Linked DNA regions of Drosophila melanogaster. The protein of the gene in region 1 purifies or fractionates together with the protein of each later gene. This does not show direct contact. Each region holds a gene or a part of one and is shown on either strand. Other genes may lie near its edges. The genes, in order: AP-1-2beta, prd1, Bub1 and Nak.

The links.
Region 2: the proteins of AP-1-2beta (region 1) and prd1 purify together in Drosophila melanogaster (affinity purification with western blotting; one study listed by BioGRID). This does not show direct contact.
Region 3: the proteins of AP-1-2beta (region 1) and Bub1 purify together in Drosophila melanogaster (affinity purification with western blotting, with the first as the bait; one study listed by BioGRID). This does not show direct contact.
Region 4: the proteins of AP-1-2beta (region 1) and Nak purify together in Drosophila melanogaster (affinity purification with mass spectrometry; 2 studies listed by BioGRID, with this or other methods). This does not show direct contact.

The regions. Positions count from the first base shown.
Region 1 is NC_004354.4:19,729,154-19,735,107, forward strand, and holds AP-1-2beta (adaptor protein complex 1/2, beta subunit), read left to right. Parts: upstream 1-1,850; 5' UTR 1,851-1,936; intron 1,937-2,221; 5' UTR 2,222-2,246; coding exon 2,247-3,671; intron 3,672-3,736; coding exon 3,737-5,077; 3' UTR 5,078-5,428; downstream 5,429-5,954.
Region 2 is NT_033777.3:11,780,978-11,788,974, reverse strand, and holds prd1 (pruning defect 1), read left to right. Parts: upstream 1-1,960; 5' UTR 1,961-2,352; intron 2,353-2,546; 5' UTR 2,547-2,606; coding exon 2,607-3,492; intron 3,493-3,561; coding exon 3,562-4,440; intron 4,441-4,510; coding exon 4,511-5,349; intron 5,350-5,404; coding exon 5,405-5,557; intron 5,558-5,616; coding exon 5,617-6,020; intron 6,021-6,075; coding exon 6,076-6,289; intron 6,290-6,342; coding exon 6,343-6,543; intron 6,544-6,604; coding exon 6,605-6,973; intron 6,974-7,035; coding exon 7,036-7,155; 3' UTR 7,156-7,844; downstream 7,845-7,997. Other genes in the region: HisCl1 (Histamine-gated chloride channel subunit 1), read right to left, coding at 1-333, 395-529, 644-953, 1,027-1,210, 1,281-1,393.
Region 3 is NT_033779.5:5,277,288-5,283,815, forward strand, and holds Bub1 (Bub1 kinase), read left to right. Parts: upstream 1-1,765; 5' UTR 1,766-2,072; coding exon 2,073-2,984; intron 2,985-3,040; coding exon 3,041-4,702; intron 4,703-4,786; coding exon 4,787-5,512; 3' UTR 5,513-5,996; downstream 5,997-6,528. Other genes in the region: Nin (ninein), read right to left, coding at 647-902.
Region 4 is NT_033779.5:18,965,743-18,970,625, forward strand, and holds the start of Nak (Numb-associated kinase), read right to left. Parts: upstream 3,003-4,883; 5' UTR 2,674-3,002; coding exon 2,511-2,673; intron 1-2,510. Other genes in the region: Tango6 (transport and golgi organization 6), read left to right, coding at 3,357-3,417, 3,476-4,883.

The DNA.
Region 1 (5,954 bases):
TCGGCGAAAAGGGCTCTCAATTATCCGCTGAGTGTGCGCTCCGAAGAGTTACAATCCGTACTATCCGTACTATATGTACGGTCACCCACATAAATAGGCAATACCAATAACAAATGACAAATGTTACAGTACAGGCAATCCAGTAACTGCGGGCTGAAGCTGCTCGCTCTTCCACCTTTCGTTTCTTTCGATACCACCAAATTAAGATAAATGTTATGGGAATATGATAGTTTTAATAGATTTTCTACAGTTCCAATTTAAAGCGAATAACAACCAAGTCAACATAACGTGCAATATATATATTGATAAGTGTAAAGGGAAAACCAGAAGCTTCCGTTAACAAAAGTATGCATTTCACTACCACATATTGTTTCCGTACTTTTTTAATCCCTCGAACGGAGGATAAAATCCACTCCAAGGTCTATGCTCACTCAGAATCAGAAAAACTGGATAGGCAGAGGACGAACAAACCTAATCGCATCCACAAACACGCATAGACACGCACACAACAAAAAGAACCGGACAACAATAAGAGCAGCAATAAAAACGAAGATAAGGACGAAGAAGACCGTTCACTTAGGAGCCAAGCCTGATTATGAAAAAAAAAAAAACGAAATCGGAATAATCCGCATTTCATTGTTTTATTGATTCGAAATGGCTTTGGACGATTGTTTTCTTATTGATTGATTTTCCAGCTGAATATACCGGACCTAAGTTTTTGTTTATTTCATAAGACTGAATTACTGGAATATGATTTATTTAAACGTGTATATAATTAAGGTGTAATAGCGAACTTTACAACTTTTACTAATGAAACATCAAAATTTTTAAAGTTATTCCGAACTTATTTATTAAAAAAAAAAAAAAAATAGATGAAAGTGAGGAGAAGAAAAGAGGATACAAGTGATGAGAAAGTCGTGAGCGAATGAAGTTAATATGCAACTATTAATATACAATTTATATGGGAAAATCCCCATGTGAAAATGATGATATATATATATATATATATATATGTATATATATATTTCAATGGATCGATAAAAAGCAAATGAAATGAAAATGATGTTAAAATATAAGAAAACAAAACATTTTTTAATTCAATACTACTCTTGATTTGTTTTATGTGTTAATAACTTATTAAATGATATTTCTTGAGAATATTAAAAAATAAAATTGTTAGGATATTCAATTATGTTTATTTCAATGGGGGATCACGGAAGTCTCGGTTTTTGATAAGGCATCGAACAATTAAAAATTTCTATTAAAACATTCGTACATAATGTACTTTCCTTTCAGACTTAAAGGAGCGCATTTTATTGAAATAAATATTCTATTTCATGTTACTGCCGTCTTTCATTCTAATTTAATATTGAAAAAGGATATTGACATCAATTTTAGGTGAAGATATTGAACTTTTTAACATAAATAATTTGTAAATACAATTGAAAATTAAATTTTGTATAACATTATTATAAATAACAAAGTTAGCCTGTTGCTTTTACGATCCGTTACTTTTCAGATGTAATATAGCCATCTCACTCTAATTCGCTATATTGCTCTCTGGTGAGAGCGTCGACTTCGTTTTTCATTGAGATTTCAGTTTACTTCATTGGCTGTCCTTTATTTTATATCTGGAAAAATCTTCTGCATGATTTTCCTAATCTGAGCTCTTTTACGAGTAGGATATGTTGACCTTGATCAACACCAATTTCCAAAAAAAAGGAATTTAATGCACCCACTTATTTAAAAATGTTTCGATAATAACACAAAACATCAGTTTGCGATAAAATCGCAAAAACTAATCGATTTATCAAAATACTAAACAGAAAAAATACCAGCGCTTCGACAAGTCACTCCCCTGTAAACGGTCGCACTAATTGCAGATAGAAGAGAAAAGCTAACAAATCTTTGTGCCCGAAAATCAACTATTTGAAAGGTAATTAAAAGCAAGCTGCGTTGGCAGAAGTCTCCCCAAGTGGGCATAGGCGCAGTCCAACTGAGGGCTTCTTTTTCCCCTGGCCAGTTCTGAGTCATCCCGAAAATCGGGCCCCTTTTGAGACGTGTTCAAGCTGCGATAGGGGCGAATGTGTTGGTATTCGGATGATTCCGCCCCCAAGATGTGGTGTGGTGTTGTGAGGGGGGATTGCAATCAATAATCGCACTTCTTGTGCCGGAAACTCCACGTTCCCCTCTCTAAACTCAATCTCGATTCCAATTTCAGTACGCAGCTAGGAGCAGCAGCCACGATGACTGATTCCAAGTACTTCACCACCACCAAGAAGGGCGAGATCTTCGAGCTCAAGTCGGAGCTGAATAACGACAAGAAGGAGAAGAAGAAGGAGGCGGTGAAGAAGGTGATCGCCAGCATGACCGTGGGCAAAGACGTGTCCGCCCTCTTCCCGGACGTGGTCAACTGCATGCAGACGGACAACCTGGAGCTGAAGAAGCTGGTCTACCTTTATCTGATGAACTACGCCAAATCGCAGCCGGACATGGCCATCATGGCGGTTAATACGTTCGTGAAGGACTGCGAGGACTCCAATCCGCTTATCCGGGCGCTGGCCGTGCGCACCATGGGCTGCATTCGGGTGGACAAGATCACCGAGTACCTGTGCGAGCCGCTGCGCAAGTGCCTGAAGGACGAGGATCCGTATGTGCGCAAGACGGCCGCAGTGTGCGTGGCCAAGCTGTACGACATTTCAGCCACAATGGTGGAGGACCAAGGCTTTCTGGACCAACTGAAGGATCTGCTATCTGACTCGAATCCCATGGTGGTGGCCAATGCGGTGGCCGCTCTTAGCGAGATTAACGAGGCAAGTCAGTCCGGCCAGCCCCTCGTGGAGATGAACTCGGTCACCATTAACAAGCTGCTGACGGCGCTCAACGAGTGCACCGAGTGGGGCCAGGTCTTTATCCTGGACTCGCTGGCCAACTACAGCCCGAAGGATGAGCGCGAGGCGCAGTCCATCTGCGAGCGAATCACTCCGCGTCTGGCTCACGCCAACGCCGCCGTCGTTTTGAGCGCCGTCAAGGTGCTGATGAAGTTGCTCGAGATGCTGTCCAGCGACAGCGACTTTTGCGCCACGCTCACCAAGAAGCTGGCTCCGCCATTGGTTACGTTGCTCTCCTCAGAGCCGGAGGTGCAGTATGTGGCCCTGCGCAACATCAATCTGATTGTCCAGAAGCGGCCAGACATTCTCAAGCACGAAATGAAGGTGTTCTTCGTGAAATACAACGATCCCATTTACGTGAAACTGGAGAAGCTAGACATTATGATCCGCCTGGCCAACCAGAGCAACATCGCCCAGGTGCTTAGCGAGCTGAAGGAGTACGCCACCGAGGTGGACGTGGATTTTGTGCGCAAGGCAGTCCGCGCCATCGGGCGATGCGCCATTAAGGTGGAGCCCTCAGCCGAACGCTGCGTGTCCACGCTGCTTGATCTTATCCAGACCAAGGTCAACTACGTGGTGCAGGAGGCCATTGTGGTCATCAAGGACATCTTCCGCAAGTACCCCAACAAGTACGAGAGCATTATCAGCACGCTGTGCGAGAATCTGGACACTCTGGACGAGCCGGAGGCACGCGCATCAATGGTTTGGATCATTGGCGAGTACGCAGAGCGCATTGACAACGCGGACGAGCTGCTTGACAGCTTCCTTGAAGGATTCCAGGTAAGTTTTTCTCTGGATTTGCCAACATTATCAGGACTTTGAATTGCTATTTTCTCTTTCGCCAGGATGAAAATGCACAGGTGCAGTTGCAGCTGCTGACGGCCGTGGTTAAGTTGTTCCTCAAGCGCCCGTCGGACACCCAGGAGCTGGTGCAGCACGTACTATCATTGGCTACCCAGGATTCGGACAACCCCGATCTGCGTGACCGTGGCTTCATCTACTGGCGTCTCCTGTCCACGGACCCGGCCGCCGCCAAGGAGGTGGTGCTGGCCGATAAGCCACTCATCTCAGAGGAGACCGACCTTTTGGAGCCGACATTGCTGGACGAGCTCATCTGCCACATTAGCTCGCTGGCCAGCGTTTATCATAAGCCTCCCACCGCGTTCGTGGAGGGTCGCGGAGCCGGTGTGCGCAAGTCGCTGCCCAACCGAGCCGCTGGATCTGCAGCTGGTGCAGAGCAAGCAGAAAACGCAGCCGGCTCAGAGGCAATGGTCATTCCCAACCAGGAGTCGCTCATTGGAGATCTGCTCTCCATGGATATCAACGCACCCGCCATGCCATCTGCTCCGGCCGCCACCAGCAATGTGGACCTTCTGGGCGGCGGTCTTGATATACTCCTCGGTGGACCGCCAGCAGAGGCGGCTCCCGGCGGTGCCACCAGCCTGCTAGGCGACATTTTTGGACTGGGCGGAGCAACGCTATCGGTGGGTGTTCAGATTCCCAAGGTCACATGGCTGCCAGCGGAGAAGGGCAAGGGACTCGAAATACAAGGAACGTTCTCACGCCGCAACGGCGAGGTGTTCATGGACATGACTCTGACCAACAAAGCCATGCAGCCGATGACTAACTTCGCCATCCAACTGAACAAGAACAGCTTCGGCCTGGTGCCCGCGTCGCCCATGCAGGCTGCTCCCCTTCCACCCAACCAATCGATCGAGGTCAGCATGGCCTTGGGCACCAACGGACCCATTCAGCGCATGGAGCCGCTCAACAACTTGCAGGTGGCCGTGAAGAACAACATCGACATCTTCTACTTCGCGTGCCTGGTGCACGGCAACGTGCTGTTCGCCGAGGATGGGCAGTTGGACAAGCGCGTGTTCCTCAACACCTGGAAGGAGATCCCCGCCGCCAACGAACTGCAGTACACCCTGAGCGGTGTAATTGGCACTACCGACGGCATCGCCTCCAAGATGACCACCAACAACATCTTCACCATCGCCAAGCGTAACGTCGAGGGCCAGGACATGCTCTACCAGTCACTCAAGCTGACCAACAACATTTGGGTGCTGCTGGAGCTAAAGCTGCAGCCGGGCAATCCGGAAGCCACTCTCAGCCTCAAATCGCGCTCCGTGGAGGTGGCCAACATAATCTTCGCCGCCTACGAGGCCATCATCCGTTCTCCATAAGCGTTCCATGGCGCACATCCGATGGCATAGGATAAGCACAAAGCAATTGGAGCTATCGATTTGCGTGTGTTGAAGATTAGCTCAACAATAAGTTGTAAATTTACGTATTATTATTATATTGTGTATTGGCCGAATCGCCACCTACATATATTATTTATGCATATGCACACATATAAAATCCAATCGGGTTCGTCGAGAGATCTGTTAATTGTTAATCGGAGCTGCTTGTCACTCAGTGTACTAACGTGTAATAGCAACGTTGCATAACCGCATTCCAAAACTCTGTAACCCCATATGTCCTATGGTCGGCATCTATGTATATGTTTGTGTCCTAGTAAAATGCGAAACACTAAATAATTGTGACATTGTTTTCCTCGACGGCAGTTGCACTAAGCACAGTTTCTATTCGCTTTCAATGGTCATTTCTACAAGGTTCCAAATACGCATGATTATGATTTATGATTTTAGTATTATAATTAAAACTGTGTATTATAATATTTGTCCGTTCGTAAGCCTGAAAGATTTTTATACTTTCAGCTCAAAGTCAAAGTGCATCAAAGTAAGTTTTCTAAGTCGAAGATCTGAGAAAATAATTGCATCAGTTAGGTTAAAAGTCAATATATTGATCAATATTTAGGATCATTAAAATCCAAAACTAGGCTTGAAACTCAAAAGTTAGATTTGAAATATCATATTTACTTGAAAATTCGTTAAGGAGAAAGAGGTTTTCCTGCTGCAAATATAGAATCCATCAGATAGGAGTTGCAAAGCGCTTTTCCCGCGCAGATCAACTTTGCGTCAAACTATGGCCACGCCCACATTGGCCCACGTATGTAAGTGGAGCATTCTGTAGCGATTTGTACAGACACCCAAAGCT
Region 2 (7,997 bases), on another chromosome or scaffold:
TTGCCTTTGTGGCCACCGGTCCCATAAAATTGTTGACCACTGCAAATTCCATCAGAGAAAGGAATACAAACACCGAACAGGACGACATCCAGACGTCTATAGCCTTGACATACGAAACCGGCGGCAGCGATTGTTGCGACTGGGTATTCTGGGTGGCCAGGGTTAGCAGTGAGGTCACTCCCAGAGTTACACGGGCGGGTATCGCTTCTGGTTTTATCCAAAACGATATCCAAGACATGACCACAATCAGAGCCGAGGGGATGTAGGTGTGGAACAAATGGTAACCCAGGCGTCGGCGCAGGTTGAACACAATGGCCAGGCAGGTGAAGTTACCTAGAGATAAAATAAATATAAATTATATTGAAAAAAATGGCTTTTAATAGTTTAGTCTTACCTGTTGAGTACTCTATAGTACAGTCGGTTGTGTAGTTATTTGATATGTCTAGCTGCGGCAACTCAATCTCCGTGTTAACCACAAGTGGGTCGGTCATGTTCCAAATGAAAACCAAATCTTCCACCGTATGGGATACTGCCAATCAAAACTCGGTTCAACACAGATTATTTGTAATTCGAGAAGCGGAATGGAAAGTTCCAAGCGATACGGGATTTGCAGGGTGTAGATAACCATTACATTTCCACCTACAACTCTCGATCATCATGGAGCAGATTTGCGTGTCATGCGGATAGGACTCAAACTTCATGGCGCACGACAGGACCAACGTGAGTTTGGACATATAGAGCAGCGTTTTGTCGTGGTACAGCCAGAGATAGTGATTGGGAATGCTCATCTCATGGAAGGTGACCTTTTTGGCGTTCTTAAAGAAGCAATCGGGCCGCCAAATGCTGTGCAACCAGTCGACATCCAATATGCGATACTGCTCACTCATGTTCTCAGGCAACCGCAGGCGAGGATCACGCCAGCTTTGTGCAAGGAAGATGTCCGTCACATAGGTCTAAAGGAGCATGATAAGCCAATTAGTGTTTGCTGAGTGATGAGTATTGAAAAGATGAACACATTCTACTGACCATAGACTCCTCGTTAATGGAGTCCAGGGAGAGGACCGTGACATGGAAGTAGACTACTGTGGGCTGGCCGAGGAGCTTGGGAGCCCGGTTCTTGTCGTACGTCTTTGAGGGAATGGGCAAAATGTCCGGGAGCGAAAGACTCGACTCGTAGTGGGAGACCAGCTCGGCGCTCTCCGTGTTATTTCTGCATATGTGGAACAGAACAGCCCTGTGGCGTAAATCTGATGAAACTGGGCAAACGCACTCGGACTCACCTGTAACCATGAACACAATGGCAGTGCTGGATCGATTGCTCCAGCGCGTGCAAATATATTGCCAACGCAATCAGGCACCTGAATTCTACCAATTTGCTAGTTGGGCTTTGCATTATGAACACACTACCTTCGGCTTTGATATTGTTCCTCTGGCACTCATTGCTCCGCAGTCCATGTCAATTCCCAAAGTAGCTCATCTCTGGGTGCGCTTGAGAATGAACTTGCTCGGAGGATTAGTAAGCGAGGAATTATATTTTACTCGTCGCGCAGCAAAAACCAATAAAGAAACGGCAGAGTTATCGCGACGATTGTGATGTGCTGCAAAGTGTGATAAATTGATTTCTAAGGTTTCATTCGCTTTCATTGGCATTCGCCCACACTACACTACTTTTCAAATTGACAACTGACCCCGGTTAGCGAAATGGCAAAGAGGAAATGATGTTCGCACCCACTGACAAGGGCATTAATTTAAATGTCCACTCTGTATTTGCGAATAATATCTGTGAAATATGAAAAACCGTTTGACTGCGCGAAACAAGCGAACTGGGCGCCAACTGTCGATGTCAAAAATGGGTTTATCGGCATGTTCCGGCATTTGCTTTCGAAGTACGTTTTCACAAACTGTTCTGGGTTTGCTCTTAACTTTAAATCCCAATTTTCTTGAAATGCAAATACGTGCTCTACAATATTTTAAATAAAAGCCGAATACAAACTTGTCTTAAAATTGAATTAACTCTTCAGGAACATTTTACATAATGTGTTAAATAATTGTTGAATTTTAAAATTTACAAAAATATTATTTGAAAACCGGAACTTCCCGTTGCTGTAACAGGCCGCGTTGCCAACCTCTTCTCTTATCTGGCAGCTCTGGCGCGCAATCAGCTGTTCGCGGAACTGGCAACTCTATGAGGTCAAAATATTGATTGTTTCACTTGCCAAGACGTTTTTTTTTGGCAATTCTAAAATGTACAAGTGGCGATAAATCTGCACATAAAACTCTTAAAGCAAGCGTAAAAGGAAACGTAAACCACCCAGATCGACAGTAACATGGAATCCTGCGATACAATCGCAGGTGAGTGACAGAAGCAGCGGTGTGTGAATTTAATCCCGGTGCGATTTTCAAGGGGGTGCTGGGTCAGGGGTCATTTTCCTTTGTGCACTGGCGCGATTTGCTGCGGCGCATTGTGCAACTTGTGGATATTGATTAATAGCAAGAACGCCGAGATACACAAATAATGGTTTACCGACTTTTACAATTTTCCGTAGGTTAATAGACGAAAATCACTGCGTAGATAACTCTTGACAAGTGCGAAAATCGAAACGACCATGGAATCACCTCTGTTGCCCAAGGCCAACAACAATTTGGGCATGGACAAGATGAGCTCCAGCTTGAACAGCAGCACCATGGAGGACACCACGCCCAGCGATTCGGGAGTACAACTCCTGGACTCGGAAAACAGCGATGTGATGGTGGAGTCCATTTGCTCCTACGAGGAAAACGTTAGACCGATGCCCCTCCCTTTGGTGGATCCCAACTCCAATGTGACTGCAGCGCCGGATGAGTCTATGACCATTAGCGAGTGCTCTACGTTCGACACCACGGAGAAGATTGTATACCGTCGCAAAGTGCACAAAGCTTCGTCCGCCTCCAAAACTCCCAAAAAGCGAGTGTCCTTCCACGAGGACATACTGAAGAACACTCGTACCGACAACATTCACATTGAGCATGGCTTTATCACCTACAAGAACGGACGCAAGTTGGCCTTCGCTAACTCAGCGGGCGTGGCCGGCGCTCCAGGACGATATTCCTGGTGTCCGGATCGGGAACGTCCGGAGGGACCTAATGAACTCAGTGCCGCTGGCAGGGAAGACGATGGCGAGGAGGCTACCGGTGGCGGAGGTGCCAGGCGAAAGAGACATCTGGTCTACCGAAATGCCTGCTCGGATGTGCTGGACTACGACAACATTTTTGACACGGACGAGGCGCCCGGTCTGCACTATGACACCTCAGGTGTCTTTGAGTACGGCCCTGCGACCCAAAAACAGGAAGAGCAACCCCAACTTTACAAGTGCGTGTGCAGCAGTTCCAACTCCAGTTTGGATTCCGACGAACAAGACAAAAATTCCAATGCGAATTGTAAGCAGTACGAGCAGGCTAAGAGCAGCTCATGTGATTGCATTGGTATGAGCAATGCTAACAACAATCTAATCGGTAAGCTATATAACATTCTGCTTAAATCCTTGTGATGTATATCCACATTAATCTTTATCCCACAATTAGGTGACAATTGCTACTATTCAGAGCCCAATATCGGAGATGCTGACAGTCCCAAAGTCAAGTCCGTATGGAATAAGGAGAAGAAGCCGAAATCAAGCTGCTTAAAGAAAACTAAGCTACATACAAATGTCATACTCGAGCAGGATCTCAATGGGCGGGTAAAAAAGTTTAACGTGCACGACATTAAGCACCAACTGCTCGACAACAGTAGCAAGATGATATTTGGATCGCTAAAGAGCATCTTTACCATGCCATTGCCGGAGCGCGGAGTTCCCGAGGGCTCCGAAGACCTGCAGGCGGTGGTGGAATGCGTCCCTGAGCTGGAACAGACACCAGAGCACAAATCGCGGCCGGCGGCCGAGTCACCGCCTCTTAGAGCTAAGCCATTCCTCAGCAAGAGTCTCGACGGCAGCAAGCAGGCACAACCAGTTAAGAAATTCGTGCACAACGTTGATGAGCAATTGCGGCATAAGAACGAAGACGATGGTGCCAGCTCCACGGAAGCCTCGCCGATGGAGTCAAAACAGTCACTGATGTTGCATCGCCAAGAGGAATTCGATAAGGAAACAGTGCCAATGGGCAGCGCACAGGGCGAGTTCCGCAGCAAGTTTATAATTAATTGTGAGAGCACTGTTTTCGAACACACCGGAGTATCCTACGAGACGGGGGATCTGCAATCCGAACTCTCATCCGGTATTCAGCACACCAGTGTAGCCAGTCTGCTCGAGCAAAACACTCCCATCGCAGAGCCGGCCGCTAGTCAAATTAAGAAATCATTTTTGGATGCTCCCATTGCCAAGACGTTTAGTAATTTCTTTCGAAGCTTCAAAGACAGCACACCAGTTGCAAAGGACGAGCAAGCAGTCACAGATAACTATTTTGGTGAGCAAATAATATTCATTTGAATTAATATTTTCCCCGATGACTAACACTGTTCATTATGCTTATATAGCTTCAAAAATCGCTAAGCCGCAGCAACAAGCACCAGCCGCGGGCAAACTTCAGCGCAACTTTTCCTCATCAACCATATCCGAACCTAGTTCGAACACCAACACCAGCAGCAACCATCAAATCGCAATGAATCCGCAGCTGGGCAACGCGGAGCGTCAGTCTCGACACCTTCCTTCACCGCTCAAGAAGCGTGGACAACCCTTACAGCCGCCCCGTTACTACGACCAACAGCATCCTCACCAAAGTCGGAGCCTCCACAGCCCCAGTGCCTACCTAGCCGCTGGACGCGGAGGACCAGGAGGTAGTGGTCGCGACTCAAAGAGCACTATTCTCAGCGAAGAGTTTGACGACATACTAACTATAACCACTACAGATACAACTAATGCGCGCTCAATGGACAGCGATTTGGTCATCGTAGACTACACAGATGTGGACTATGCTCACTTACTGAAGCCGCCAGCTCCGGCGGCCAAAACTTCACTTATAAATAGGTTCCTTCGTAATGTCACACAGAAGAAAATAATGGAAACCTCCATACGCAAGAACAATTTCTTTGCCGATAAATTGAGAACCGAACAGAGGCATGCCGGATCCGATCTGTATGTGAAGGGTGCTCGGCCAAAGAACTACGAGCTTATAGATGACTTAAATGCAGAGATTGCCATGGAGATTGAGATGTGTGGCACGAATTCGCCGCGACGGGAACTTGCCATTAGTTTGGATAACGATTTCCAAGGCAACTTGTCCAATTTCGAACTTGGCATTGGGGAGATCTCAATTGATGTATTCAAAGGAAAGTCCTTGTTCAATCTGAAACAATCAAATGAGCAGCTAATGAAGGTAGATTGTAATTGTGTAGCAAATAGCAATCAATTATAAAAACTTATCATTTCAGGCTTTCAAACTGTATACAGGCTACAATGTAGATGGCATCATGACACCTGTACTTGTCCTACTCACTGATAAAACTCTGTATGTGGTGAATATGGAAGGAAATAGTCTGTGTGTCAAGTTTGTTTTGGCCTACAAGGACTTGGATGTCATACTGGTAAATGTTAACGGATGACATTGCTGTGATATATTAGTTAATGCAACATCATTTTTTAGATGGGACCTTTTGGCAACACAGTTTTGCTCAGCAACAGTAATCGAGACATGCAGCAGGTCCTGCTCGCGGGTGGTCCGTATCCAGCCGGATCCCTGGTAGCCAACCTGGAGTTGTGTGCCCGACGCAGTGGATCCACTCTGCCTGCAGTTGGTCAGCTGACTCTAGAACATTTGGCTCCACTGCAGGCTTTTGTGCGTGCCAACAGCTGTGTTGGCGTAGCAGAACATTGGATGCTCTATGCAGTGGTTAATGTGCCAGCTGGAGGGTCAATGAGAGTCGAATCGCCAAGCGAACTGCTGGGACCTTCAATGAAGGGATTCCTCATGCATCGAAGACTTAGGCAGACGATCAGCACTTCAGCAGCGAACAGAATATTTTGGCAACCAGGATACTTTTTACTGAAGTTCGTAACTCTCGATATTTGAAGGAATTCAATTTAATATGTGTTCATTTCTTAGAGCTGGCGTATTGTATATGTTCAACGATTCCACCCAAAGGCTTCCCAGCTGGGCCATGGCCCTCGCCGAGTGTCAGGGCGCCCGGCGAACTGTGAAATCAGAGCGCCCCCACTGCTTCGAGATTACGCTAAAGGGCGAAGTCCTGCAAATGGCTGCGCCCGACGAGTATGTAGCCTCCGAGTGGCTCCAGGCTCTTTTGCAATCAGCCAGTGGCGTAAGTAGACAATTAATATTAGAAGATTTGTTTTAACTTTTTGTTGTGTTTAGCTTGTGGTTCAAGAGGAGAAGCACAAAACCCTTGGATGCACGTTGATCGTCACGGATAACCATTTAATAACCCTGCGTGAAGACTTTTCGGCTCCTCTACGAAAAATAAGCCAGCAGGCGGATAACAATGCAGCCGTTCAGGGAAATAAAGAAACCATGCTTGAGGAGGATATGCTCAGTGTTTTTGAAACCAGTAGCTTAGTAAGTGCGCTTATTGTATTAGCAAATCAAACTTCGTAATCATTTGGACTTAAAATTTTAGATGGGTTCCACCATTAGTACTCCTACCCGTGGCACTCAACATTCATATTCCTCGTTAAGCTCTACGCCTACTAAGCAAACAAACGAAGATGCAGCTCCGAAAGAAACTGTAGCTTCGCCGGAAAAATCACAAAGAATGACCAGTGTTTACGGAAAGAACTCCGGTTTAGCCATACTAACTTGTGCGGACATCAAAGAGATGACTGGCATTAAGATAACCTCGCGGAGCGAGACTTGGTGGTGCATTCTGGAGTTCTCCTGCCAGGAGGCACCATTGGAAAACCAGGACGATTTGGTTATATTCTTTGCCAGCAGCATGGAAATGCAACGTTTCCTGCGGTTGCTAGAGCAGCTTTGGCAGTCTAAGAATGTATGTTTCTCGTTGACTACTAAACCTTTCCTTAGCAATAACGAAATATTCTAATTTTACAGAACGATCTATTTCCAATAACCATACTAGACGACGGTGACTCTCTGGCCGAGCAATATAATAAACTTTATATGGACACAAATAGGGCCTGGGAGCCTTTGCTATCAGCTGCGCTGGGTTAACGTGGCTCTGGCCATATATACTCCATTTACAAATAGAAAATTATATTTCCATATACATTACTCAAGCGTTAAATATTCTATCCTGAATACTCAAATAGCTAAAGAACAAAAAGTATTGATATTTATATAGTCTGTATGTATTATGTATTATGATTTTGTAATGCGTGCCTCCGCTTGACTCATTCATTCGTTTGCGCTTAGTAACATCTCATTTGAATAATTTTTGTGATATTAAACTTAAAGTCGCTGATCTTTGGTATGCTCTTTTGTAGGATATTTAGTTTCTATTGATTTTCTACATTCGTTATTTCTTACCTTTTATAAATACATTGTGTACAAATATTGCACAGATAATAAGAAACAAAATATTATACATAATCTAACTTATACGAATATTGGACATGTAATCAATCGGTAATGTTATGTTTTGGGGGTGCTCTTTTGGTCCAAGGATCATATCCATATGATATACGACAAACAATATGTGGCTATTTATAAAATAAACAAAACAAACATTTATAAATGTGTATTAGGAAAAGTGTGCATGGTGGACTTAATCTTATTTTGCAATGCTGTGCCTCTCCTTTTCAATTAGCATAGATTAAATTCCCCTCCCAACGCCCGACATTTCGCTGTAAGCCTTTCAGCCCACTAAAAGCTCATGATAATTAATAAAACCAATAAACGCCATTACAAAACGAATTTTTATTTATTCTGAGCTCGCTGATGGTCCTTGACATTTTCAATAATTGCAAGTGGTGAAAGGGTTTACAGAGGAAAGGGTTTTCTGGGCTCTAAGTCGGGTTTATGCTGTGTGGGACCCTATATTCCGAATGAGTGTG
Region 3 (6,528 bases), on another chromosome or scaffold:
TGACCGCCGGATCGGCGGTAATACAATCGTGTTCCCATTTTGATTTAGACTAAACTGCCCAGGTGAATGTGTCGCGTATTTATACAGGACATTGTAACCATCTACCTGATAAGGATCATGCAGGATCAGGTAGTCGAGAACAGTTGGGAGTCGTAAAAAAGTGTCAATTGCATCTATGATTTTATGATCGCCAGCTGCCGCCGTGCTAATCCGCGTGCTGATTATGATATTCGTACCCTAAGGTGTCCTAAATTTGCCCAGAAGTTTCCAAATCAGATAAGCGGAGGTTTGAAGTAAATGTGCATAATCCTTGCAAATTAGCACGTAGATGGTAGCACTTCTTTGAGTATTAAGTAATGGCTTTGTTCATCTATAGACTGCTAGAAATGTGTTCATTAGATCAGTGTTTTATTAATAGGGAAACCCACACGGTTCCAAATCCGTGTCAAAATTGAATTACTATCTCTAATAAGTGGCTGGCAAACATTCCGTAATTATCTGATGTTGCTTGATGGGTAATTAAAGCGCAATTACAGATAAAACGTATGTTGTTTTATGCGAACCTGTCGCGTTAGCTTATAGCAAATATTATCTTTATACTATATAAGTTAATCTATAGCGTGATCGATTCTTTGTGCTATCTCACCAATGAAACCCGATGACGTATTACCATCGAACTCGGAGCCCAGGAAGTTGAGTAGCGCCTCCTTGAACTGGCCAAAGGACACGCCCAGCTGATGGCTGCCGCCCAGGCTGGCGATCAGTGCGGATCCCTGATCCCGGAGCTCCAGCAGTGAGCAGAGCTTCAGCAGGGACTTCTCGTCCAGAAGTCCACACTGCGTCTCGCAGCTGCGGAACATTTGGTAGAGCTTCTGCTCGTACGGATCGGCGGATACCTCCATTATCCGTAACCCGGGGAATTCAGTTTGCTGCCGTTCCAATCGATCGGCTGCTCAATTGCGTTTTCACTTCGCTTTTTTTTTCTTGGGGGGAAAATCCACAAACGCAGTCAGGGGTCGAAAACAAGAAAAGTGAAATATCGGGGTCTATGTGCGTGGGTGGCGGGGGAATCACGCGTGTTTTTTGGACAGCAGGCTGTTTGAGGGGTTACTAATACTACTAATCTATGATATGCACTTCGGAACGCAACATAAACACTCGCGGGTTTGCGGTTTTTTTGGGAATAGCGTAATTTCTAGCGAGTTGATAAAAAACAATAATGCAGTAATAGCGAGCACGGTGGCGCGCTCTGGAGGGCATTAAGCAAACTTGCATCGGAGGTGGCACTATCGTGGACCATTGTTCCTATCGTTATACAACTATCGTTTAGGATTTGAATATTTATATTACAAAATAAATAGATAACAAGGGAGAACGTAATGCCATATAATAAATCGCTAACTTTACTTGGAAAGCTTCAGCTCCAACCAGACCCCTTATTAAAGTAGAAAACTTGACATAAATTGAAATCATCCGATTAACATGTTGTTTTCCAATAATAGATTATAATTATACAAAAAGTATATCAAATAGGAAGTGCTTCATAGCACACACACATATATTGTGCGTCATTCAAACTACAATAATTTAAAACAAAGAACCCTATAGTTTTATTAATAAAATTGAACTTTGGCAACAAATAAATAAATAAAAAGTAAAGTTGTACAAAAAATTGCTTTTGTTTAAAAATTCCCAACAACACGTTTCTATCGCACTATCGATAACCTTGTGCATAGCCATCGTCAACAGTGACAGCCAATGGTTCTATCGATTGTTTGGCAGCACTAATAAATTCCATTTGCAAGCTGAAAAGCAAGAAAAAATACAAAATATCTTTGAGCATTGCAAACTGTTGAAAAATCCAACTGAAAATCATGTGTATGTGCCACCAGTGACAGCCGAAGACGCCGAGGGATTAACTGAGTTAGTGGACCCTAACCAGTCCAATCGGCAAGGGGCACTACATTCCGCAATCCGAGACTTTTTGGTGGTGACCCGTAGAAACCACAGTCTCGCATTCATTTGTTTGCATTACGGCGCAGCGGGATCAGAGGATTCCGCGTCCGGCCGAGATGGCCATGCACTCGTACATGCGCCAGGGATCGGGTTCCGGAGGAGGAGCAGGAGCAGTCGCAGCTGGAGCACCGCCGCTGGCCAGCCCGGACGAGATGCACGGCTTCCTGAACGACAAGCAGGCTTGGGAGCACGCCATATCCCTGTACCAGGGTCCTGATCCACTCGATCATTGGTACAACTACATCTGCTGGTACGAGAATCACGCGCAAAGCGATCCGGAGCTAAAGTACCGCGAAACTCTGGAGCGCTGCCTGACGGTGTATGAGCACAATGACTACTATCGCCAGGATGTCCGTTTGGTGCGGCTGTGGCTGAAGTACATAGCCATGCAAACGGATCCACTCCATTTCTACCAGGTGCTTTTTCAGCGAGGAACTGGTCGCCAGGTGGCCGCCTTCTACATTGGATGGGCTGCCTATTACGAGTCTCGCGAGGAGTATAAGGATGCGGAGGCGGTGTTTAACTTGGCCTTCCAGGAGAAGGCGCAGAGCACTTCCGAGCTGCAGCACGCCCACACCAAGTTCGCCTATGCCAGGTCTCTTTTTTACCAGCGGCAACAGCAGCAACAACAGCAACAACAGCAGCACCAGCAACATCCCCCGCAGGATGCACTGCAGCAACTCACGAACTATGCACAGCAGCAGATGCCACAGAGCTATAATCAACACCGTCCCCAGCCATATCAGCAGAATGTCTATCAGCAATATCATCCGCAGGCGCAGGCACATCAAGCCCCACAGCCTCATCAGCCGGCGCCACAACAGCAACTGCCGCCAGAACAACAGGTCCCCTATCAGACACACTACCAGGAGCGGCCGCGCTATGAACCACATCCTGCAACTCAGTCCCCAACAGCAATACCACCATCCCAAGTCCAGCAACAATCGCATTATGCTCCTGTGGCAGAGGTGAGCATTAAATTTAATATCAAAGCTACTTGATAAATACTCCTTTTTTGTTTTAGTCCCATTATGCACCAGCCCAACAGTCACAGTTGCCGCCGCAACAAACTACAGTACCGCAGTTGCACGCACAGCAGCCGCAGCAGCAACAAAACGGCAACGGCAATCCACCTCCTCAACAAAGTCCTCCGGTGACAAATGAAGTGGCTGGCCTACGCTTGCCGCGCAATTTCCACGCCTACGGGCGCAACAACCATGAGACATGGAAGCCGGCTCTAACGCTTGAAGAGCCTGATGATCCCTCGCGCGTGTGCCACTATGCCAAGCAGTTGGTATATCCACCAGGAGCAGGCGTCGAGTACAGTCCCGAAGAGATACTAGCCCGCAAGTTTAAGCAGTTAATGGATCAAAAAGCCAAGCCATCGGAGCCGCCAGAACAAGAACAGCAAACTCTTTATGATTCCTACGAAACTGAGAAATCTTACTATATGACTGCTGTGGATGGAGCTCTTTACGGGCAGAACACCAGCAGTGGTCAGGAGAATACAGGTGAGGAAGATGAGGACAATGACGCCGAGGAGGGAGAAGAGGAGGAGGATGGTGGTGAAGAGAACGAGGAAGATGACTCTGATGAAGAGGAGGAAGACGATGAAGAGGAAGAGGAGCATAGCGGACCGTACACAAATGGCGTGCAGTTCAGTGCGCAAACCACTTTCGAGCAAGAAAATCGATCGATTAAGATCAAGTTCAGGAAGGAGCCCAGCAGCACCTACAGTGCCTATACCATAGAGAATGTTTACCAGCAACAACAGCAGCAGCAGCAGGAGCAGCATCAAATAATCCATCAGCCTCCGCAGGCAGTACATCATCCTTCGCCGGACCCGGCACCTGCTTCTCCGATTCCCATCCAGCGTCAACGCAACGGAAGCCACCACCACTTCCATCCCTACATGCTGGGCCAGACCTCGACGCCGAAGAGCGAGGCGAATGGCTATCGCAGGGCACGCACCAAAGTTAAGCGCAGCAAGTTCCAGCCGGATCTCTGCAGCAACAGCAACTCGGCATCCTCGGTGGCTGATGTGGCCTCGAGTAGTGTGCTCGCCGGAGCACCTGGCACATTTAATGACAATGCAAACTTTTCGTTCTCCAGTGCCACAGCTTTGGATAACTCAAATAGCTCGCTGGCCTTGGCTGTTGATAGACTTAACTTCCGCGACACATCGCAACAGCAGATCCTCCATCCGGTCAATAAGACCTTACAAATTCACAACAACAACAATAACACCAGCAACAACAATAATGGCACTAGCACCATGGCCGATTTCTCCACATTTCAAGAGAACTCGTACTTCGCCACTCAGCACGACACGGAGGCCCAGGAGCGTCGGCTATCGAAGGCCGTTGAAACGATAGCCCGCCACATGGACAAGGAGGCCATCGATCCGTTCAACAGCGAACTGTGCCGCGCTTTTCTCGCCAAGCTAGATTTTCCGGGTAATCACGATGCCCATGCCAGTTACAAGATTGTCCAAACGCCACTGCCAAAAATATCCAACACTCGCACGCTGAACGTCCTGGAAGGCGTTACCTTTAGCATCGACAAGGAGGTGGGTCGCGGCTCATATGGCTCGGTTTATAAAGCCACTGATTCTCGGACCGGCAATGTAGTGGCGCTCAAGTATCAGAAGCCCCCAAACACCTGGGAGATATACATATGTGATCAGGTAAGAAAAATTATATTTACCACTTATATTAAAGTTTTTTTTTGCCAAAAAGATTTGGGTGTTAATACATATTGCGTGTTTTAGGTGCTGAAACGCATCAAGGAGCCAGAGGTGTTGCCTGGCGTTATGGACATTTCCACGGCGATCATCGCCCCAAACGCTAGTCTAATAGCCACCGAGTTCTCACCGTTCGGTTCGCTGCTGGACATCAACAACAAGATCCGCCAGGCAACCACCAAAGTAATGCACGAATCGCTGGTGATGCACTTCTCCGCACAGATCTGCAATATCGTGGACCACCTGCATCGCCAGCACATCATCCATGCGGACATTAAACCGGACAACTTCCTGCTAATGCGTGTGCCCAATGTGGACAGTCCGTTGCCATCGCTACGTTTGATTGACTTCGGCTGTGCTATCGATATGACCCTGTTCCCGGACGGTGAGAAGACCAAGTTCCGGAAGGTGGTGCAAACGGATGGCTTCACCTGCATCGAGATGCAGGAGGGACGCAGCTGGTCCTACGAAACGGATCTCTTCTGCATCGCGGCGACCGTTCATGTGATGCTCTTCGGTGACTATATGCAGCCGCAAAAGAAGGGCTCCAGCTGGGAAATACGACAAAAGCTGCCGCGTTACCTCAAAAAGCATGTGTGGACCAAGTTCTTCGGGGATCTGCTCAACATGCAGGCGGACAAACTGCCAGCGCTGCATGAGATGCGTCTCATCTTCGAGGAGGAGGCGTACCGCATGGACTCCGAGCTGCAGAAGCAGATACGCACCCTATCCAACATCCTGCATCGACGATAACCAATCTATTCCTATTCCTTTCTGTTAAATTGTTTTGCATATAACTCTGTTGACCAAGTCACCCATTTATATTGTTTCAGTTTTTATTTTAAAACAATTTTCCCTCTTCAAAGATGATAAAACCAAACCGGGAAAAACTCCGCGTTCTAATTTTAAACTATTTTTCTGCGAACAAACTCCCTTTTATTTATTGTTTTGATGCCAAAAAAAAAAACGAAAGCAAAAAGTACGCTACAAAATTCAAAAACATTGTAAATATTAGGCACAGACTCGATCTAAAGCAACGTTTACGAAATGAGTTTGTGGAAAAAAGGCCCTGGATTTAAATGTAATTTTTTTATGTACAGCACAATAAAACAATATATTGAAGGCAATGTAAAAAAAAAAAGAATCGTACATAAATATGTTTAAGATTAGTGCTTGCTGTACTATTGAGTAATATATAAAGATCTTTAAATAATAGTGAATAAATTGACGAAATGTTAAAGCAAAAACCATATGAATTGCAGCGCGAAAAAGGAAAGCAGTGGTAACCCAGTTTCATAAATCAAATGCCAAAGTGGCGAACCCATAATGTGTGTGTTGCAGGCAATTGTCAATTTAGTGGGGGCATGCAACAAGTAATAGCAGCAACAGCAGCGCCAGCATCAACAACAATGCTGCGCTTGACCCACTTTTCCTTTTTGCCAGTCAACCAAACGGCGCACAATTTCCACCAAGCGACTGGAAAAAGTTGCAACTTTTCATGCAACACACACACACATCGACGGTTGGAAAAGCTGCAACAGGCACACAAAGTCAAAGTCGACGCCTGCGCTGCGGCTTTTTGTTGCTAGTTGCTTGAAACTCGAAGCTTGCAGCTTGTTGCTGGCTGCTCGTTCGCCAAGTGAAAGTAAAGTGGGACAAATGCAATTATTATTGCATCTAGTAACCGACTTAGAAGTCGTGGCGCGAAACTGCAACTTGCAGCCTATGCAGTATGCAGTATGCAGTTGGAAAGTTGCTCTGCCGGCGTC
Region 4 (4,883 bases), on another chromosome or scaffold:
TACCCTGTTATTGTATATTCATAATACATATATACGAATATTTTATTTTATATGGCAGGAAGTAGCTAATTAATAAACTAATTTGTTTATTAAAAGGAAATATGTGTCACATTTTTATAGCACACGTATCTTTGGCCATTCCTTCCCACATAATTTATGCCATATATCTACGTGATAATAATGGAATTTCTTTACTATAAACATTTCACGTTCACAAATATCCCCCCGTGGTGTTAAAATAGTAGAGGGTACCCGAATTCGAGTGATAGCAGTTACTGTCTGGCCATGGAACGATTTACACATGTTTTGCCTAACAGGCCATTTGCATGAGGTTTATTTCAGTTTATTGCAAATAGAATTTCAAGTAGAATGCCCCCACATTTCAGCCCTCTCCACCTGTCGCTTTACGCCACTTCAAAATGTACGATAAAAAGGCAACGCAATATAAACTAAACTATTGAAGGTCACGTACAGAAATAACAACAATAACATGCGACAATAACAATACTCAGCGGGGGAAGGCGGTGGGGCGGCAAAATAAAAAGATAGGAACAGTGGTCACTAAGAAAAAAACATAAAAATATATATTAGATATAAAATGAAATGATATTAGAAAAAAAAATGATCTCAATACATTAGATGCATAGACGATGCAACGATTAGGAGAATGTTTTAATATTGAAAATATTTATGGAACATTTGCTGTAAATGCACACACCATTTCTCCCTGTGTAGGCGATAGAGAGAAGTGAATAGCGGACCAGCAAATGTAACCATTTTTGCTCGACTTTGTGAAATTATGGCGTCAAATGTTAATCAATGCTGAAGGTTGCAACAGCAACAAATCAACATTGGCAAAAAGTACAGCAACAACATCCAGTAATAATAGTATGAAAAGCAACAATAACAATGCACAATTGTAGCGATGCGAGAAAACGCGAGAAGGCAATTCGAAACGCAAACGAGGGTAGAAAATACGTCTGAAGGGGCGTCAACTGCAAGGTGGGCAGTAAGCGGTTAAGGGTGGGGGCTGAGGGGTTAAGGCGGGAAAGCTTCATTCGTTAACCGTTTGTCGCTTAGTCATTTGTAATTGTTGTTGGCTGCTCAAAAATCGAATCAAAGAAAGCAGGTAAATATTGAAGGTGATTAAGCACAGTGTTACTTTGGAAGTATCCAGCATATCGAGCAGTTTAAACTTGGCTATACGCGCATTTTATTCATTGAGCATCTGCAAAAGACTCTATTTATTTTTTCTCTTTCTTAAATGAAATACCAATAGTTACGTTACTGGATTAAATGAATTAATAAATAATATATAATTTAGTTTATAATTTGTTATACTAATTCAATAACTTTAACCAAATAACCGTGTTCGTCAAACGCTCCGCCTTTTTAATTACAGGGTATGCCCGACAACAGCTGACTAATTGCCAGCGGCGCCAGCGCAGCGCAAAACAAAATTACGAATCGAGTCCGCTTGCCAAAAGTATAAAAAGTAAAAAACACTACGTAATGGCTAAAGGAAAGGTGGCGAATGGCTGGCCAGGCGGTGGGTGAGCAATCGTTAGATGATCAAATGTTGGGCGGAGGGTACTGGTGCCAGGCCAACAAGGAGGCACTTGCACTGCAGGATGATGTGGAGTGGAGCACTCCGCATTTCAAGGACAAGGACACAGCACAGGCGATTTCCTTAGGGGCGAACTTTGCCATTTAGCTCGGCGAAAGGTGAAAAACGGAAGACTGTCGGAGACAGTCGGCTGATGAGTGTTGGTCTTGCCGCTTCATTGGCTAAATTAACATAATTGATTCAATTGATTTGTGGCCATGTGTAGTGGCTACGGGAATTCAATGGGTATTCCATGGAAAAACCAACCAGAACCGTAACTGTGTTTGTACAGTCGGGTTTCTCTAACGCGGACACCCATTTGTCACAATAGAAATGCTGGCATTTCTGGTTTTGGCAAAAATAAACTCTTTAAAGACTGACATAAATTTGGACGAAATATCTGCACGCCATTAGAGAGCCGAGTTATGGACATAAATATGTAGTTCTATGCCAAGGGCAAAATTGCAGTTCAATTAGTTGGAATTTAGGTTACAAACCAGTATTTAGTATTCATAATTAATGAAATAATTTAAAATGTTTTACAGTTTTATTAAAAGATAATATATCAAAGTCAGATTTTAGCTGTTTTGAGTTTAACATCTTATACAGAAATTATTGGGAGTAATTTATTTGGATTTAATCGGAAATGCGACAAGTGGTGTCCCCAATTATGGAGGATACGCAGCTGATTTTTATGCTCTCTAGCGCTTTGAGTACGCCCCACATTTGGGAGTTCTCGCGCTGAAGGGGTTTATCTAATCTGTGACGAGGGGCGAGACCGAAAAGCGGACGGCAGGCTACTGCCCACCTGTAAATCAGGCAGGTGATAAGCATAATCGCGGGCGACGTGTTGTAGGTAGGGGAATGGGAGCACATATATAAGAGTGTATATATAGTCGTCTACCTTCTGCCAGGACATCCTCCACGGTGACCGTGACGCGTCCCACTGTGAAGACCTTGCCCACGAAGCTGTTCTTCTCGTTCGAGGACGACGAGCTGCTGCTGTTGGGCGGATTCTCCAGTCGAGAGTTCTCATTGCGCTCGAACTTAGACAGGATTTTCTTCATTTTCCCCCGATTTTCACTAGAAAATGTTTACTGCCCCAGCAGCACAACACACACACACACACTCGCGAGCACACACGCACACTAGCTAACACGGTCTTAATTGCCTGCGCGTAGGTGTTTTTGGCAATTTTTAATTTTGCGAGGGCGGCTGACGGTGGGCGGGGCGTCGGTGCCGCTGGCCAATTAATCCACTTTCGAGTCGTATCGGCTAGCTGAATAAAGCTATTCTGCGCACTTTGTGTTTTTGCATGCACACACACAATGCAGTGGAAAAAGAAAGTTGTTCGATTTTCCTGCTGCTCTCGAGTTGTTGGGCCAGTGTGACCAGGGCGCTTTGCTGCAGTCAGATGCGCAACCCGCGGCTGGTGCAGCCGCCTATCGATATATAGATAAGTTGGTTGCAATCTCGAAATTCTGAAAACAAGGAAATCCCCGTTTACAAAATAGGTTTTATGATAACAATTTTTTGTAATTTGATCCAATTTAAAAAGATAATATGGTTCTACTTTCAATAAAACATATAGCTACAGTTGCATTAAACTATCGCGCAGTTTTAATTAGCTATGCTGCCAACATCGTGTTTCCCTTATCAATATGTTATCGATTGTGCTGGTGCAATTGTAAACAAGCATCTCTAGCAAATGGTCGCTAAATTCGCAAAATTGTAGTTTGCTGGGATAACAATGATAAATACGGCCAAGTACTTTGCTCTTCTAGAGAGTTTAAGGTTTAGTAAAGCTCTAGGTAAATTGGTTAACATCATATAATAATTGTAGTATCCCTAATACTAATATTTCGACAGCAAATACGGCGAATAACTCAGGGACTGCCGAAGCCTTGGAAATCAACCTGCGAATTTTGGAAAAATATGCTAAACTCGAGATTGGTCAGCAATTGCATGAGCTGTGCCTGGAATATCAGTTAACAGACGATCACGAATCTAGTATTGATCCCGATTCGGATCGTACTATATGCTATATAATAAGATTGCAACATGTGCTACATTCGATCATGAGGAACATTAATTTCCACAGCGACGCCAAGGAGGATCTTATTTCGGTAGCGCACCTGAAATTGTGTATCCAGGCTTCCCAAGAATTATCATATTACTCGCTTCGATGCCAGCTACATGAGGATTTCTACAAGTCGCCCATCTTTTGTGAGGCTCAGGGGAAAATCAAAGCTAACTTTTCATTGATGCTTCTAAGCATTCAGTTCTTTATTAATCTACTGCATATTCGACAATACCACATAGCCAACTCGATGGAGCTGGTGCAAAGGGATCTACTGGCGGCCATTGTGAGTCTACGTGTGCAGCAAGACTCTCCACTGCTGGATAAGGCTATAGCCTACCTCTGGCAATATGAATCCAAAGCAGATTTCTTTCGCAACATCTTGCTTTTTAAAGCTACGACTCTCTGCCCAACTCTGGCCCAATTATTGCACCGTCAACTCTTAGGAAAGCTTCACTTACCCCAAGGATTTGCTAGTCTTGTTGAGGCCCTGCATCAAAATCCCAATGTGAATTCTTCCAGAAATGCGGAAATTGTGGCTAGTATTGTGGCCAGAAAAGGATTTTCTCAGTTAGCGCAAGAGAAGATGGTTCTCCAGGTGCTAGAATATTGTAAGTTCTATCTGCAGAATGCGGACAAAATGTGCGCCGGTGTCCTATCGCTCAGAAGACTTTACGATTTAAGTGATACAAATCAAAAGCTGATAAAAGAAATATTATTCAAACACTGGGAAACGCTTTGTAACCCAGAAGACATTATTAATGGCCTTATCTTAATGGATCACCAGGAACTGTGCAATCGCATTCTCTTATGGCAGCATCTCTTTTGTTCTTCAACCGTAGCTTGCTTACCCAGTAATCTACTCGTTCCCTACCTTCCTTTGCTGCTCCAACTCTACGATGGCCTTCCAATGGAATTACCGGCGTCATCGCAGATTTCTGCCATTATTTTGCGTTGTCTGGACAACAGAGAAATGAAAAACGAATTACCTGCGATACTCCAGAAGCTGTTTAAATGGGAAATTGAGAAGGAACCTCCTTGGAAGTGTTTAAACCCACGCATTATAATCCTGCCTTCCATGAACACAACTCAAATTCAGGTTAAAGTAGCTCACAAAGATCATCTAGCAGATCACGATATGGGCAGAATATTGCCCGGTCTACTCACATCAAGCTCTCATCATTCCCTCACCTGCAA